Linked DNA regions of Ovis aries. The protein of the gene in region 1 purifies or fractionates together with the protein of each later gene. This does not show direct contact. Links are inferred from orthologs where the notes say so. Each region holds a gene or a part of one and is shown on either strand. Other genes may lie near its edges. The genes, in order: SDHAF1 and SDHB.

Evidence for each region.
Region 2: the proteins of SDHAF1 (region 1) and SDHB purify together in Homo sapiens (co-immunoprecipitation; 3 studies listed by BioGRID and IntAct, with this or other methods). This does not show direct contact. The link is inferred for Ovis aries from reciprocal best matches to the Homo sapiens genes SDHAF1 and SDHB.

What each region holds. Positions count from the first base shown.
Region 1 is NC_056067.1:45,972,775-45,975,970, reverse strand, and holds SDHAF1 (succinate dehydrogenase assembly factor 1, mitochondrial), read right to left. Parts: upstream 1,761-3,196; 5' UTR 1,667-1,760; coding exon 1,310-1,666; 3' UTR 676-1,309; downstream 1-675.
Region 2 is NC_056055.1:249,224,281-249,228,837, forward strand, and holds the start of SDHB (succinate dehydrogenase [ubiquinone] iron-sulfur subunit, mitochondrial), read left to right. Parts: upstream 1-1,455; 5' UTR 1,456-1,653; coding exon 1,654-1,749; intron 1,750-3,076; coding exon 3,077-3,178; intron 3,179-4,334; coding exon 4,335-4,462; intron 4,463-4,557. UniProt on the Homo sapiens protein: Iron-sulfur protein (IP) subunit of the succinate dehydrogenase complex (mitochondrial respiratory chain complex II), responsible for transferring electrons from succinate to ubiquinone (coenzyme Q).

The DNA.
Region 1 (3,196 bases):
TTGAGAAGATCCCCTGGAGTAGGAAACAGCAACCCATTCCAGTATTTCTGCCTGGAAAAAACTCTATGGACAAAGGAGCCTCACAGGCTACAGTCCACGGGGTTATAATGAGTCAGACCCAACTGAGCAGCAGGCATGCCAGGGCATCCTACCTTTGATTTGAGCTCTGAGTTCCTTTCCTGAGGTCCTCCTCCTCTCAACTGCTTTTAATGGGTGCAAATACAGCTGAGGGCTACAAAACGCAGCACCTCAGGGAATGTCTAGGGCACGTCCCTGTGGGGGCATGCGAAGAGCTATGTCTGTGGCCTATGGGTCCACCTCTCCTTTCCCACCCCTAGGCCTTGCTAACAGTTCCAGCTTGTAGCTGAGGCTGGACTCCTTAGCAAGGTTTGAGGGTCCCACTACTACTGCAGGGATTACCAGCCAGGCCTCCTCAGCCCCACCATTCCTCTTCCGCCTCACTACCCCCCATTAAGGGGTCAACAGGGGCTTCCTTGGGGGTCAAACCAGGGTGGCTTCCCTCCATGGATCTGCCCAGGAGAAAGAACTATGCTGCTCCAACCAATCTGCCATTCTAGAGGGTTCCCCACACCCATCCCTTGCCAGAGGGTCACTTCTTGATAACCCCCAAAATCCCCCAAACACATCAAATCTTTACCACCACCAACAGGGAAGTAAGCACACCCCCATTTTATTGCCTTTTTGTCCAACAGTCCTGAGCAGGGAAAGGGGCAGGAATCGGGGTGGAGAGGGGGAGGTTTCACCCTCAGAACCATCATGCAGAGGTCTTAAGGCGGTCTTTAACTGATTAGCGGGGTGAGAAACCCCTTACCCCCTTCCTCACCAATCCCAGTTGGTCTCAGTGGAGTAAAGATTTTTCTGAGGGGGTTTCCAGGCTTCTCACCAGTCCATCAGGGCATCGTCCCAAACTCCTCCTCATCTGCTCTTCTCAGAGTTAAGTACAGGAGAGAGGAGTCTCTTTGAGGAGCCGCCAGTGGTATTTCTCAGGGTTCTAGACAAGGGCGTGTCAAGTCTCTTTCCGTCCAACAGCGGGGCGTCTTGGCTCCCCAGGCCTTAGGGTAAGCAGCTTTTAGTTTGACAGCCCGCCCCAAGCCTCATTGGTTAAGTCTGACCCGGTACCATACAGCAAGTAAAGCCGGGCATTTCTCGCCATCGCACCCCACGTCCCAGGAGAGCTCTTCAACTACCTCAATCTGTCGATCTAGTTTCTCAAGACCTCTCACTTTCCATCGGGGGGCTCCCCCGGTCCTCCAGTCCCCCTGAGCCATCGGCAGAGCCCTTCAGCCGGTCACCGTCCATCCAGCGGGGTCTTCGGTGTCCTTATGCTGTCTAGCGGTCTCCTCCGGTCGTCACCTTCATTGGACAGGGTCCCTGGGGCCCCCGCGCCGTTGGACTCCTCGGTCGGGTCCTGCGTACGGACGAAGGCACCCATGGCCGTGGCGTGGCCCGAGCGTAGCATCTGGAGCTGGCGCCGACCGCGGCGGTACAGGTACTCAATGCGAAGTACGTCTGAGCGTGGCAGGCAGGCGTGCTGCCGGAATTCAGCCCGCACCCGTGCCTCGGCGCCCGGCTTCCCGCGCCCGGCGCGCAACAGCTCGCGGTACAGGCTCAGAACTTGCCTCTGCAACCGGCTGTGCCGGCTCATGGCAGCAGCTGGGCCGCGGGGCACGGAGCGGCGCACGGGAACAGGCGGCAGAAGCGGTGAAACACCGCCACAGGCACTTCCGCCTCCCGCTCCCAGCTTTGCGGCGCCGTCGCGCCTCATAGGTCGTCGCTGCTGCTACGTCACAATGTTGTGAGTAAGGGGCGGAGCTAATGGTTCACTGGCCCGCCCCACTGGACATCAGTGTCCTTGAGAGGACGGTACTCCTGAGGGCCTGGAGGAGGAGGACGCTAGACGCTGAGACTCTTAGGTTTGGGGTCGGAAGAGACCAGGGGATCCTGACCTGACTCTTGGGTCCTGCGAGTGGAGAGAGCTAGAGGTTAGGGTCCTTGTGTTCCCCAGAGCGCTGGGGGCACGGGGAGAGAGAAGACGGGCACACACGTGGGTTTATCCTCATTTATTAAAGCAACCATAGGAAGCTCCGTGAGTCCCCACTCCCAGAGCAAGTGTACATCGAAGGCCCCAACCCCTGGGGAGAGGAATACCCGGTAAAGTGTTGGGTCACAGCCGGCAGAACAAGCCTCTCGGTGCTGAGAATATACCGTGGGCTATAAGCCCCCAAACGCAGCCTGTTTGGGCCGGTAGCGCTCTCTGCCGACGTGAGTCGGATCTGAGGGTAGGAGAGGGAGGGGCCTCCCTAGCTGTTGAAGCGGAGTCCAGCCCACAAGGAACTCTTCGACTATGTTGGCACTCCGCAGACCTGCAGGCAGTATCAGGTAGTCAGCTGCAATTCCGTTATAGTTCCCGCAGGCTATTCGGAGGCGTCCTCGTAGCGCTGGGAGGCCCGCAAGGCCACGACCCGCTCAGCACCCTACCAGCACCTACCAGCACCTACCGGCACCCGGAGCGTGGGGAACCAGGCAACGATAACCCGGGACCCCTCCGCCCAGCGTGCGACCACGCCCCCGCACATCTGGTCATGGGTTCTTCCGCAGGAGGCTAGGCTAGTCAGGGGCTGAGGAGAGGGCCTGAGTCTGGGAGTCGATCAGTTCAGTTCAGTTCAGTTGCTCAGTCGTCTCCTCTCACCTCATGGACGCCAGGCTTCCCTGTCCCTCACCAACTCCCAGAGCTTGCTCAAACTCATGTCCATCGAGTAGGTGATGCTATTCAACCATCTCATCCTCTGTCCTCCCCGTCTCCTCCTGCCTTCAATCTTTCCCAGCATCAGGGTTTTTTCTAATGAGTCAGTTGTTCGCATCAGGTGGCCAAAGTATTGGAGTTTCAGCTTCAGCATCAGTCCTTCCAATGAATATTCAGGACTGATTTCCTTTAGGATTGACTGGTTTGATTTCCTTGCAATCCAAGGGACTCTCAAGAGTCTTCTCCAACACCACAGTTCAAAAGCATCAATTCTTTGGCTCTCAACTTTCTTTATAGTCCAACTCTCACATCTATACATGACTACTGGAAAAACCATAGCTTTGTTTAGATGGACCTTTGTCAGCAAAGTAATGTCCCTACTTACTATGCTGCCTAGGTTGGTCATAGCTTTTCATCCAAGGAGTAAGTGTC
Region 2 (4,557 bases), on another chromosome or scaffold:
CTGGAGTGGGCAGCCGTTCCCCTCTCCAGGGGATCTTCCCAACGCAGGGATCGAACCCAGGTCTCCCGCATTGCAGGCAGATGCTTTACCAGCTGAGCCACAGGGAGGCCATACCTGGACTATATCGGGGTTACATCGTGCTGTAGTTTCGTGCATGGTCATCACTGAGGGAAATCAAGTAAAGGACAGGTGGGAGCTCAGGATTATTTCTTACAAATGCATGGGATTCTACAGTTATTTCCAAATGAAAGGTGTTAACTTAAAGAGCAGCAGTCTACGAGTATATGCAGCAGCATGAATGAATCTCAGAAGCGCTTTGTGGAGCAAGAGAAGCCAGGCCCGCAGTGTGTGACCTCACGGTGTTTATATGGAGTTCTGTCAGAGGCAGATAGATCTGCAGTGATAGAAAGCGGTCAGTTGCGGGGGGAGGGAGAGGGCGCTGACTGCAGCGGGCTTTCTTAATGGGGATGTTCTGCTGTGATTGTGGTAGTGGTTATACAATTTCATCAAAACTCGTCAAACTGTGCACTTAAAATTGGTGAATTATAATGAATATACCTCATTAAATCTCACAGAAAAGAGTGAAGAAGTGAAGTTGCTCAGTCGTGTCCGACTCTTTGCAACCCCATGGACTGTAGCCTACCAGGTTCCTCCGTCCAGGGGATGTTCCAGGCAAGGATACTGGAGTGGGTTGCCATTTCCTTCTCCAGGGGATCTTCCTGACCAGGGATCGAACCCAGGTCTCCCCCATTGTAGCCAGACGCTTTACTGTCTGAGCCACCAGGGCAGTCCCCAGAAAGGGTGGGGGTAGGGCAGTTAAGCAAGCAAAAGCTTGCTGGAGCTAATACCTGCAACCGGGAATTCTCGGCAGTCTAGTGGTTAGGACGCCCCTTTTCACTGCGAGGGCAGAGGTTCTGGGCTACTGAGGTCCTGCGCGCTGGCAGACACCGCCAAAAATGTCAAGAGTCTGTTCCCCTCCTCTGAGTCACCACAAGGTGGCGTTAGCCAAGCATTCCTGACATTTCACAAAATGGAGCCTCCAGTTGGAACGTGTTCATTTGCAGAAGTGACTTTCCTTTTTCCAATGATCCTCACCAGCTTGGTGATTTGATGAAATACAGCTTTCCTCTTCACCGTCACCTTCATTTTCTTCATACGTTTTCTTCCCGTACTGAGGGTCGATATCTTCAGCTTTGTTTAATTTGGGCTGGGTTTTGCCAGCCAGTAGTAAACTCCAGTGCATTTCTTGTAATTACTGAGTGAACCTTAAGAGTTTTTGCTTTCTTCAGCAGTTTATAAGAGAGTGAGCTGGCCTGGAATGTAGCTTGAATCTTGCCAAGTACTCTCTGGACTGGCAAGACCCTCCCCTCCTCACAGCCGCAGGAGAAGCCCGCAGGACTTGTGTGGCCTCTGCTTTGTTTTGTCTGCCTAAATGCAAAAGGGCTTCAAGGACGAGGGGACGGCGGCGGCTTGGCATTCGTTGTACGGGAATGCCACAGACAGAGGGGTACTTTTATTTCTTAATGGCTTGATGTAGGTTGCACTGTTCAGCCTTTTAAGGTACATTCAGAATAAACCACATTTTTGCATTATTCTAATGCTCAGTTTTTGCCCTTTTCTTCAGTCATTCCTAACCATGGATTGAACTGCTGTATGCAGGGGCCTGGACCAGGTCTGCTGGGAGACGGGACATGTAGGGCTCCATGCTGTCACGCGCTCTGTATCGACTTGACTGGGCCCAGACCCTTGGTAGGATGTTTCTCTGGGTGTTTCAGTGAGTGTTTTTGAATGAGTTTAACATTTTAATTGATAGATTGACAGAGGAATACAATTATTATATGATGCAATTTATATGTGGAGTCTTAAAAATAAAGCAAAATGCTGAACAGAACCAAAAAGGAAGCGGAACAAACATGGCTACCAGCGGGGGGCGGGGAGGCGGGGGGCACAGTCTGATGGGCGGGAGACGGGCTCAGGGAGGCGCAGACAGCACGGGGACTGTAGCCAGTCTCTTGTAATAACTGTAGATGTGAAGTAAGCCTTAAGATTGTATCAGAATATTTGGGGGAATTCTCGGTGGTCCAGTGGTTAAGACTTAAGGCTTTCACTGCTGAGGACCCGGATTCAGCCCTTGGTTAGGGAACTAAGATCCAACAAGCTGCACAATGTGGCCAGAAAATATACTTTTTAAAAAAATTTAAATTGTTTAAAAGTTGTTAATTGCGTTTAAGAAAATAGGATAGACTGAGTGAAGCATATTGCGCTTTCTAACACGGGCGGCCGTATCCGGTCGATTGAAGATACCGATAGAACAAAAAACTGGCCCTCCTTCAAATCAGAGGAAGCCCGTCTGTCAGGCTGGGATATTGATTCTTCTTCTCGCCTTTGGACTTGAAGTAACAGCTCTTCCTGGGTCTTGAGCGTGCTGGCATCTGAACTGGGGCTGCGTCATCGGCTCTCCAGCTTGCCCATTGCGGATCTTGGGGGTTGTTATCCCCATAACCACACGAGCCAGTTCCCCGTAGGCACGTGGGCCGGTTCTGTGTACTAACCCTCTTTTCACACTCTGTGTGTGAGTGTGTGTGTGTGTGCGTGCGTGCGTGCGTGCGTGTGTGTGCGTGCGTGCGTGCGCGGGCACACACCGTCGGTCCTGGTTCTCTGGAGAGCCTGGCTGATACACATGCCCTGGAGGAGTCAGGATGTGAGGAGAAGGAAGCGGCACCAAGAAGAGGCCTGAGAAGACGCCCAAATGAACAGAACCGTGTTCAGGAACGTGGGCTCTGGAGCCAGACCTGGGTTCCAGTCCTGGCTCCGCTGACCAGCTCTTGATTGTGGGCCCATCACTTGACCTCTGAGCCTCATTTGCTCGTCTTTAAAAATGAAGATCCAGTGGAGTCATTAATATAAAGCATTTAATACAGTGCCTGGCAGTAATAAATAGTGGCTTTTAAGATGAGGGTAAATTTAAACAGAAAACTTTTTGAGCAAAGCACCCTTTTTGCAAATACATTTTTGTGGGGAGGCTGCTCTCTTGGAGGGCGGGAAGCCGGTCCCCCTTACCACTGTCGTCTCCCAGCAGCCCCCGGCGGCGCTCCAGGGCCCCGTGGCGCGCATGAGGCCGACTGGCACAGACTGTGGACGCCCAGGAGCTGTGTTCAGAGCGCAGGTCTCTGCTGCTGTGAGTGCCCGGGCTTTGCCTTGTTCTAAGATACGGTATGCGTTACCTGGTCTCCTCTGCTGCTGTACAAAGCCGTCCTGCTGCGGGCGGATTGTGTTCCCCCAGAATTCATACGTAGGACCCCCGATGCCCAGTGTGATGGTACCTGAACCTGGGGCCTGTGAGAGGGAATTAGGGTTAGATGAGGTCATGAGGGCAGGACCTGTGTGGTGGGTCACTGCCCTCATGGAGAGAAGGAGAGACCTGAGGTCTCTGCGGCAAGTGGAGGTGGAGCAGGATGCAGCCGTCTGTCCTCACTTGGACACCAAAGCGGACCTGCTGACACCTGGCTCTTGGACTTCCCGCCTCCAGAACCATGAGAAGTAAATGTCTGCTGTGTTAGCTGCCTAGTCTTCGGTGTTTTTTTTTTTTTTACAGTGACTCAGGCTAAAATACCTAATTGAAACACCAGCGTCTCTCTTCGATCACCGCAGTCGCTTTCTAACTGGTTTCCCTAGATGTCATCTGACGAGTCTTCCTTTGTAAGCCAGTGGTGGTCTTCTCAAAAATAAAATGTCATCCACCTGATAAATTTTTGTTAGCTTCTCATTGCTCTTAGGATAAGATCAAAACTTAGAAGTCTTTCTTGCCTTCCTGGAGCCTGCCCTGTCTCATCCCGTCTCAGGTTAGCCTTTGCACAGTGGACGTCTCTCGGTCCTCACAGGGGTCTGTGCCCTCCCACCCAGGCCTCTGCACATGCTCCTTCAGCTTCTAATGCCCCTTCTCCTTGCCCTGCACCCCTAGTCATCAAGCCTCAGCCTAAGTATCCTTTATGGAGGCCTCCCTGGCCACTTAGACCAGTGTGAATCTCCGCTGCCAGGCCTCCCTCGCTGTATTCTATTATGAGTGTTCTGTCTCTCGTCTTGCTTGCTGCACACTGGTTTCTGTGAGGGCAAAGGCTGTGTGTGCTTATTCAGCGCCATTTCACCAGCCCCCAGTGCCATCGCTGGCATGGCACAGTTGCTTGGCGCCGTCTGTTGGATCTTGAAAGACTGTGTCAGGAATAGGCGAGTTTGTATCCAGTATTGCAGTTTATAGTGCCAACTAAGTAGAATGATTTATCTTGCATTTTTAATGATTCTTTTTTTCCCCTTCTTGGGAACTTTTTAAATTTCAGGCCTGCCGTGGGGCCCAGACAGCTGCAGCCGCAGCACCCCGAATCAAGAAGTTTGCCATCTATCGATGGGACCCAGACAAGACAGGAGACAAACCTCATATGCAAACTTACGAGATTGATTTGAATAAGTGAGTATCTCTGTGAAAGCTAGGTATTTGATAAATGAAGGTGAGCTCTTGATCTGATTCAGGGACACATTTTTCCCATCCTTGGAAGGTTTTAA